Linked DNA regions of Nothobranchius furzeri. The protein of the gene in region 2 purifies or fractionates together with the protein of the main gene of each other region. This does not show direct contact. Links are inferred from orthologs where the notes say so. Each region holds a gene or a part of one and is shown on either strand. Other genes may lie near its edges.

Region 1 (4,306 bases), on a different chromosome or scaffold from region 2:
AAAAAATTGCATTATGAGAGTTCAAATGAAGGCAACTGGACTTCTTTGGTTTCTTGAAGATGTTTCGCTTCTCATCCGATGAACTTTGTCAATTCTAACTGGACTTTCGGAGAGTCAAGCTTATAACCCAACAGACATACCATATGTAGGCCCCCCTTGGATTGGTGCTGTCTTTATGGTGTCTAAAGCTTAGGGCACACCGGAGACAGACGCGCCACATCGCGGCTGCGCTATCATTTTAAATGGAGGCCATTATAGAAGAGGATAGGAAAAATGGTTAAGGGAGCTTCGAATCCTTCTTTCAGTAGGAAAGAACAACCATGAATCTTGCCATGTGGTAAATAGCAGCTACACGGGGGGGGGGGGGGGGGGGGGGGACGTCCGATTTGTAATTGTAATTACAAATTTTTACAAACTCATACGTTTCAAAATTTGACAGGTGTGATCGAAACACACATCTTTACTTTTCATTTAAATTGAAGTGCAACATGTGTGCAATTCAGGGCGTCAGGCAAAGCAGATTAAAAAATAGCTTTTTTAGCCCCATTGACTGAAAATGGAGATTAGTGGTGCGTTCCAGTTGTCGTCAGAACTCGTTTTTCTGAGGTAAGTTAACCGGAAATGACGCATTAAACTCAGAATTCTGAGCTGCGAGCTGGTAGGTTTCAGAGGACCCAAGATCACAAATTTTAAGATGTCCAGTGCTACCAGGAAGTAGTTTTCAGCTTTATTTTTTTCTCATTTATATGTTCTGTTTTTTTTTTTTACAGAACCGAGTAGTTGTTTATTGTTGTTATCAATTGTTATGTCGTTAAAAATTTCAACATTTCTGCCTAAATTGACCGGTGTCACTTTTCCTGGCGTTTCTACATCTTATTTGTAATGTTTTTCAGGTTGTATGTGGCAACTGTCGATGGGGGTGTGTGTCACTATTATTTAGGTGCACAGAATACTTGGTAAGTTCTTTTGTTGAAGTTCTTTTAGTACTCAACAACACTGGTGGTGTCCATTATTTTGTGTTGGAAGCCTGAATGCACGCTGTTACACTCCCCAGAGCCCAATGGGTCATCTAAGTATTCATGTTTATAGTTCCAAGGCCAGAACCTCAGCAGATTAAAAAAAGAACACAACTAAGACCCATCTCACATTTGCCAAAGGCATCATGATCTCCCGGGCTTTTGGCAAAATATTTTGTGGACTGACCAAATGAAATTCAAACTTTATGGAAGGTGTGCAACCCATTAAATCTGGTGTAAAATTAAATGTCAGTGAAAGAGCATCATGGTCAACCATGGTGGTGGTAGTGTGATGTTTAGGGCTTCGCTGCTTCAGCACCTGGACCACTTGCTGCAACGGATGCAAACATGAATTCTATCAGAAAATCTTGAAGGAGTTTGTAGCCTTTGACCTTAAAGCTGCATCAGCTGTTGTCACCAAAGGTGTTATCCCCAATTAAACAGTTTTCACATTAGCCTGGCCTGCCAGACTCATCCTCTGTTTAATTCTACACAGAGAACTTCCCATAAGGAAGCATGCGGCTGGCTGCAGGCTATTTTCACATAGAGCCAGACAATTTCCCCCCACCTTGATGAATTAAATCAGATACTGAAATTAGCAGAGTCTGAAACATCTAAATTTGACCCCAAAAGCAAAGACTGTAGAAATCTGTAAAGAGGTAAATACTTTTTCCCAGCCCCACACATCGTCTATCAAATTAGTCAAAGTAAATCCAGTTTTATTTAGTAACAGGATTGCTGTAAACGTGAGTAAAACTTACAGCACAACAACACACAAGAATAACATCCAAAGCAGCGATTCTGAGCCAAAATATTCACGCTTCATATTGAAGAATGTATATTTTTCATGTTTCCAATGTGCAGGTTGTTTTTACTGCGCCCTGAGGTACAAAGGTTGTGGTTCTTAATGAAAAGTCACGTAATGTCAACCTAAAATGTAGATTTATAAAACACAATCGCTTTGATTGCCATCGCTTTCTCATCAGTAGGCTTCCATACTTTTGTTTATTTGATAGACCAAATTATATCCCTTAGCCAATCAACACTAAATGCCCCCCCCCCCCCCCCCCCCCATGTTTGCAAGAAGTCTTGACAATACATCCCTCCAAAGAGCAACAGGCACAGAGTGTTCAGGAAATATCTGACACATAGTTTGTTGCAGTCTTGCCAAGATCCGAGTACAAGAGGAAGTGAGGATGCCAATATTACTGCAGCTTAAGAGTGGTTGTTTTGCAGTTAATTCTAGCTTTGCATCCTCAGTTAAATGCCCTGTAGCAGGAAATCTTGAGTTTTATTTAGAGATCTCAATAACATATTTGAAATGATGAAGAACTTGCAGCCATCGCTGCTGGTATGGGGTTCATGTCAAATAACATCCTAATTCGCTTGTAAGGAGGACATCATGTGGATGGTATTAAATGAAAGCATCGTGAGGAAAGGCCGCTGTGTTGCAGGTTTTGTAAAGCTAACATCGCCTGCCGTGTCACGTTGTCTCTGATCATCTCGTGAGGATGTAACGGATCAGGATACCCACCGCTTTCCATCTCGCTGCCCTTTCTTGCCGTGGGCGCGTTGCCCATGATGACAACCTGTCAACAGGCAATCCGCGGCGTTCCGGCCGCCCTGCAGCCTCCTCAAGTCGGTCAAATCTCGATCTGGACGGTGTTTTCCTGAATCCAGCAGCAGCACGGAGCGTTCACTCCGAGGTCTTGCTCTTTAGTAGCCTGACAGCTGCTAATGCGGCGCCACGTTAGATAAGCGGGTTCGCTCCCTCCCACGGTCACCCGCAGCCGCTGGCCAGCATCGGATTTAAATCCACGTTGAGCTGGGGCTTCGCCGGAGCTTCAGGGTTGAGCTCGGAGGCAGCTGGCCTGGACACGGAGGATACAGTCTCCACCTGACCCTCCTTGCAGCCCCCGCCGAACGGAGCTCCCCTCCCCGGCTCTCCACCACCTCTCCCAGCCTATAAAAACAACAATACCAGCGGAGAGGGAGCAATGTTCTCAATCGAAAGCGTCTCGCTTGTTGTCAATAAAACCAGCTTAGCAAAATTTTAGCCTCAGCGGGGTCCGACAACGACAGGTATTCACCCAAATCAACATCGGGCCCCCGTAGCCTCGGAGACCAGCGAGATGACGGAACTACAGCGGAGCGAACGTCCCGCCTACTTGCTTAAACCAGCGTTGAATGACAGCTCGTGCTTACGTCGATGATTGGCCACTTTATCAGAGCGGTGACCAACAGTTTACTGTGATTGGCCAACTGCAGCCGTCAATCAACAACAGCAGCTTCCCACCGCCCAACACAACGCGAATGAGGGCAACGTCACAGAATATTTTCCTCCCGACAACGACTCCGCCCACTTTTTGTGATCCGGCCCTTCTATTGGCTAGATACGGACGGACCGTGGGAATCTCAGCGAACACGAGGACGCCCATTGGCTGTCACCAGTGATTGACATAAATACCCTCCTCCTCTACTTCGCTCTTTCCCGCTGCTGAGCGACTGTTACACGTTTGGCTGAGTGACGTCAACCGTGAGTCTATTTTTAGAAATGTTGGTCAGAATTTAACGCACGCGCGGCGCAGTGTGGCAGCAAAGACATCTAAACATTTCGCAGGCTATTCTGTGAGAAATGAACACAAATAAACAAGATTTTAAAAACTGGTGTTTCATCTTCATCACCCCGCAGCAGCTGGACTAGAGAGCAGCGGACCAGGGGTCCTTTTATCATCAGCATCATCAAAAGCTCCGATTCGCAGATTTGCATTAGAATGCCCCTTTGATTTAACGTAAGCTTGTGTTGGTAGGAAAAAATAAATCAAATCTATAAATAGATCTCATAGCATCCTCATCACTTTGACTCTGAAGCCACATTTTTTACAGCACAACCAATTAACCAGCTATATTCTTTTCCACATTTGATCTCAGGTGCTGTAAAACCATGCCAAATGACTGTCAACGTTAGGCAAAAGTGGCAGCTCTTCAAATTAAATAAAGATGCAACAAGCAGATGTTTGGCAATATTTACCAGATCGATTTGCAGCTGATCAGCTTATTTTTAGCTCTTAAACCCTGCTGCATGTTTACATAATGCTGCATTCGGAGTGCATCCAATTCTGATTGCTGCTGTTTCGGTTGTTTTAAACAGGGCAGATGTGAGAAGCAGACAGAGGTAACAGATGGATTGAAGGGGGAGTTACTCACTGATCGGTATAAAATGGTCGAGAGCAGACACACCCCTCCCTTCTCTCTTTTTTGCAGCAGTTGCCTGGCAACATGAGGCTAGA
Region 2 (4,417 bases):
CCCTACCTGTGATCCTGTTGGAGATGCTGAAGAGGCGGGAATTTCGTTGCCTTGTGGCAAACGACTCTCTGTAGTAGCGATCTCCGAAGCACATACCCAGCAGCTCCTTTCTCACGGTTTTATTCCACAGGCCGTAGATGAGTGGGTGACACATGGCGCTGCACAAAGATAGCCACGCCACCAGAGTCTCCAGTCCCTGAGACACGCTGCCCTGACCCCACAGAGCCTCCGTACACACCACCCCGACATAAGGCCCCCACGTCACGAGGAAGGTACCGATCACCACCAAGATGGTGACTAAGGCCTTACATTGACTTCCCGCGTAGACGAGGCTCCGCCGGCTTCCGTTAGAGGAGGTCGATGTGCTTGAGTTCTTGCGCCCATTTCTTTGACCTCCTGTTGAGTCATCCTGGGTCACAATAACCGTCCCACAGTGTACTTTGCGGGCTTTCATGCGAGCCACACGGAAAATGACTCCATAACAGATCAGCATGATGAAGAATGGGGGAAGCATGCACCAAATTACCCAAAAGGCCGTGTAGCTGGGCTCTTTGGACCAAGACGCCACACACGTCCATTTAAAGCAGTCAAACTCAAAGGAGGACCAGCCAAACAGAGGAGGCAGACAGCCCAGCAAAGAGTGCAGCCACACGTAGACTATGACAACCACAGCCCGGTTCCCCGTGATCTTCATGGGGTAGATCATCGGGTAAAGCACGGCGTAGTACCTGCACAGATCAGACAGAATTAGTCAGCACAGTTCAGATTCTAACAGAGGCTGATGAGTGATGCTGAAAATAAAAGCTGTGTGTGTGTGTGTGTGTGTGTGTGGGGAATAATACTGCATTTTTTGCTAAAAGATGCAAACACAGCTAAGAGAAGGGAGCTTGGAAGGAGAACAAAAAGTTTCTGTGTAATCAGAAATCCCCAAAGGTGCCTAGGGTAATTAGGAAAACAGAGAACTGGGAGGCCTGCTGAAAACGTTTGCAGCAGTGTGGACAGTAGAAGCTTTGTGATTCCTGGGAACAACGAAATGATGCAGGGTTTACCTCAAGTTATTTACAACAGGAATTTCGGCAAATATTAGTCAGATAATTGATTGTTCCATTAAATAAAAGTCTATAAATCAAGATAAATAATGCCAAAATAACTTATAACTACAAATGTAAGTTGGGCCTCACCTGTCAATAGCAATAGCTCCGAGGGTGAGCATGCTGGCTGAGCTGATGAGCAGGTAGAGCAGAGCCGTGAAATTGCACCAAACCACCCCGAACACCCACTCTCTCTTCGCTGAGCTCACAGCCACAAACGGCAGCACCAGAACCGACAGCAGCAGGTTGGACAACGTCAGGCTGAAAACAAACTTGTTGCTGGGTGTGAGGAGGTACGGCCTCCGGTAAAGGGTCACCACAATCAGCAGGTTCCCCATAAAGGCCAGGAGAGTGATGGTCACGATGGACACGGACTCCAAGGCTGCCAGACCTTCGCCATTCCCCGCCGGAGTGCAGTTTCTGGTGGTGTTCATGGTGAGGGACTGGTCCACCGGACGGGTGACTCAAGAGTGGGAGACTGCAAAGGACAAACTCACCATCACGATCATGAAGAACCCACCAGAAAAATTGACTTTTTAACCATATTTTACCTCCTGAATGAGTCAAAAGTTCTAGAAAAAACATGGATATTTTATTAATTATAAAATTCATGATTTCTGAATTATATTTCTAAAATAAATACCACAGCAATTTCCTAATGATAACCAATTGTTTAGTGCTGTTTAATCCTATAAAACATATATTAGAGTTCACAAATTACTTTTTTGTTATTTACTAAAAGTTACAGAAATAGAAAAAAAAACATAAACATTTGTTCAGATTTAATTGTAATTTTTTTCTTTTTCTGTCAGTAGCCGAATTTGGGTCTAAGAAGACATTTAATTAGAAATAAAAATACATAAATATATAGAATCTGTTATTCACCCGAAAGTACATGCACAATACATTTAGTAATTATCAATAAAACTTACAGTTCAAGTAAAATGCACCAAAAGAACCCAAAAAGTCTTAATGCTAAAGCATAATTGTGTAGATTTAGATTTGAGATCTATAAAACTATATTTATTTATGCAGCTGCATTATTATAAATGTTTTGTTTTGTAAACGAACACATACTTGTCTGTATGGATCACAAACTTTGTTACATTTACAAACAAGGGACATAAACTCTTTTCAAACAGAAGGGTCTTTAATTTTGTCCATGAGGAGGATAAATCTCGTTCCTCAATAAAAAGCTTGAAATCCGAAGTTGTGCTCAGATTTCAGGCTATTAAATAAACAAATGTTAGCTTTGAACAACATCAGAACCATAAATTCTCCATAAACTAACTTTGTGTCTGGGAGTCAGGTACAAAAAGTTATTCTAACACAACTTTTAATCACAGCTAACAGCCGAAATGTTGTTGAATTAAGCAGAAATACTCGGTTCCGTTAACACGTTAGCTAAACATCCCGTTAGCCGAAAACTTTCCCCCATTGTCCTCCCTCGAACTCGTTTCTTTACCTGCTTTTGTTCGGCGCTTCGGCTCCACATTTCTCTCTTCTGCGAAGACAAAACGTCCATGTTACTTTTATGTTTCCACACTACGCTCTAGGAGGGGAGAGAATGGCAGAAAAAAGCACAAAGCTAGTGCTGAAAAGCAAATGTTTGGTATCGCTCATCCCTCTCCAACAGCCAGCTGTGGCTGCAATGGCGTCCTCCTCCACCTCCCACCTAAACTTCTATTCCCACTGTGTGCGTGGGTGGTCGTGGAGGGAAACTGCTCCGCTTTCATTTCTACATCTACTCATCTGACATCTTCAACGGGATTGCGTTGTTTAAGCCATAACGCATTTTGTAACCTCTCCGATGTATTTGTTTCTAAAAACCCTCATGTCTTTTTCATTCGGTTTCAAAAATGAAATGTAAAAGTAATTTGTTGTTTTGTTACCTAAACTGTTTGAATAAACATGAACATTCATGATGACCAAAACGAAATGACGCTCTGCAACAGTTCACAGACGCCTCGCTGCTGGAGCGGACCACACACGTAGAGATCATAGATTCGCGCAAAAATTCGTCATCATACGTCTTCCAATCAGAAATGAGGTGTTGTGCAGGAAAATGTTCCCATTTCCGGCAAAGGACCTGCAACCATAAGTGAGCTTCAGAATTACTAACATTACCATATTTTCAAATAACTGTGGAAGATAAACATATTTAAGCCCGCGAACGTTTGTCTTACAAAAAAGTTTTGAGGTGCATCTTTTGATTTCCTTCCTTTCCTGGATTGGAGATGGCACATATGTCCACTCTTTTATGACAGCTGCAGCCAAACTGGGTATTCATCTCAATATTGCTACATCAAAGGGTTTTCTCATATATATAAAACAAAAAAACTATCCTTTTGTCTAATCTTTAGAATCTTGTGATTTTTAAAGTTTTCATTTGTTTTTCACAGAGTATGACCCTGATGAAAGGCATTGAAGAAGCAAAGAAGCAGTCCAAACAAGGTTCTCTGCAGAAGTTTGAACTGTGTGTGTACAGGTCAGCTGGCAGACTTGACGGAGCCTGGGAAAAGATATATGTACGTATTTATGCAAATTGGTTTTTAATTTGTCAGAATATTTTGTTTGCTAATCCTTTCAATTGAGCTCATTAGGGACCAATCGCCAATCTCAGGAGACTATTAGGAGCAGCCAGAAATAACAAGCCTCCAAGGTATCTAAAGCTGTATAGGAACTTTTTTATGGAATTCAGACTTGTTAGTCCTTGCTGAAAATCCATTTCAGCCATGATTTAATATTAATAATCAGAACATAACAAGTGAAATAATGATTTAGGTCCCAATTGATTTAACAGATGAGACAAGTAAAATAAATTTGGTGCCACAATGTAAAAAATTATGCCAAGCATATACAAATCAAGTAAACAAATAGGAATTAAAGGCGTTCAAACACACATTTTAAGCTTTTATTTATTTAGGCATTCATAGTGTTTGCATTGTTTCATATTAAATGTTATTTTTCACGCCTGTTCTCATTCTTTTTTACTTAATGTAATGTATTACATGAACAGAAAAGGGGCAGAGCTTTCGAACAGTAAAAGAGGCAGCAAGTGTTTTCAGATCAGTTCCAGTCCAGTGGAAACTCTCATAAAGCCTTACTGACTGAGCTACTGACAGGCTCTGCAAAGAAATAAGTGTGAGTTCCAAACAAAGGAAAAGGAAAATGCAGTCTTAAATAAACCCCAGAAGATTACAAAGGAGTTTCCTAAAACTAAAACTCCAAAAGACAGAGAAGCTTTAAAAAGGCTTTCCAGATTATGGGTCCTCCAACAGTATGCCAAATAAATACATAAACAGGATTTGTGCATCAAATTACTT

The links.
Region 1: the proteins of gpr161b (region 2) and prkacab purify together in Homo sapiens (affinity purification with mass spectrometry; 3 studies listed by BioGRID and IntAct, counting the BioPlex papers as one, with this or other methods). This does not show direct contact. The link is inferred for Nothobranchius furzeri from reciprocal best matches to the Homo sapiens genes GPR161 and PRKACA.

What each region holds. Positions count from the first base shown.
Region 1 is NC_091744.1:6,143,523-6,147,828, forward strand, and holds the start of prkacab (cAMP-dependent protein kinase catalytic subunit alpha), read right to left. Parts: upstream 2,821-4,306; 5' UTR 2,597-2,820; coding exon 2,551-2,596; intron 1-2,550.
Region 2 is NC_091754.1:25,585,873-25,590,289, reverse strand, and holds the start of gpr161b (G-protein coupled receptor 161), read right to left. Parts: upstream 3,074-4,417; 5' UTR 2,984-3,073; intron 2,596-2,983; 5' UTR 2,557-2,595; intron 1,570-2,556; 5' UTR 1,526-1,569; coding exon 1,182-1,525; intron 729-1,181; coding exon 7-728; intron 1-6. UniProt on the Homo sapiens protein: Key negative regulator of Shh signaling, which promotes the processing of GLI3 into GLI3R during neural tube development.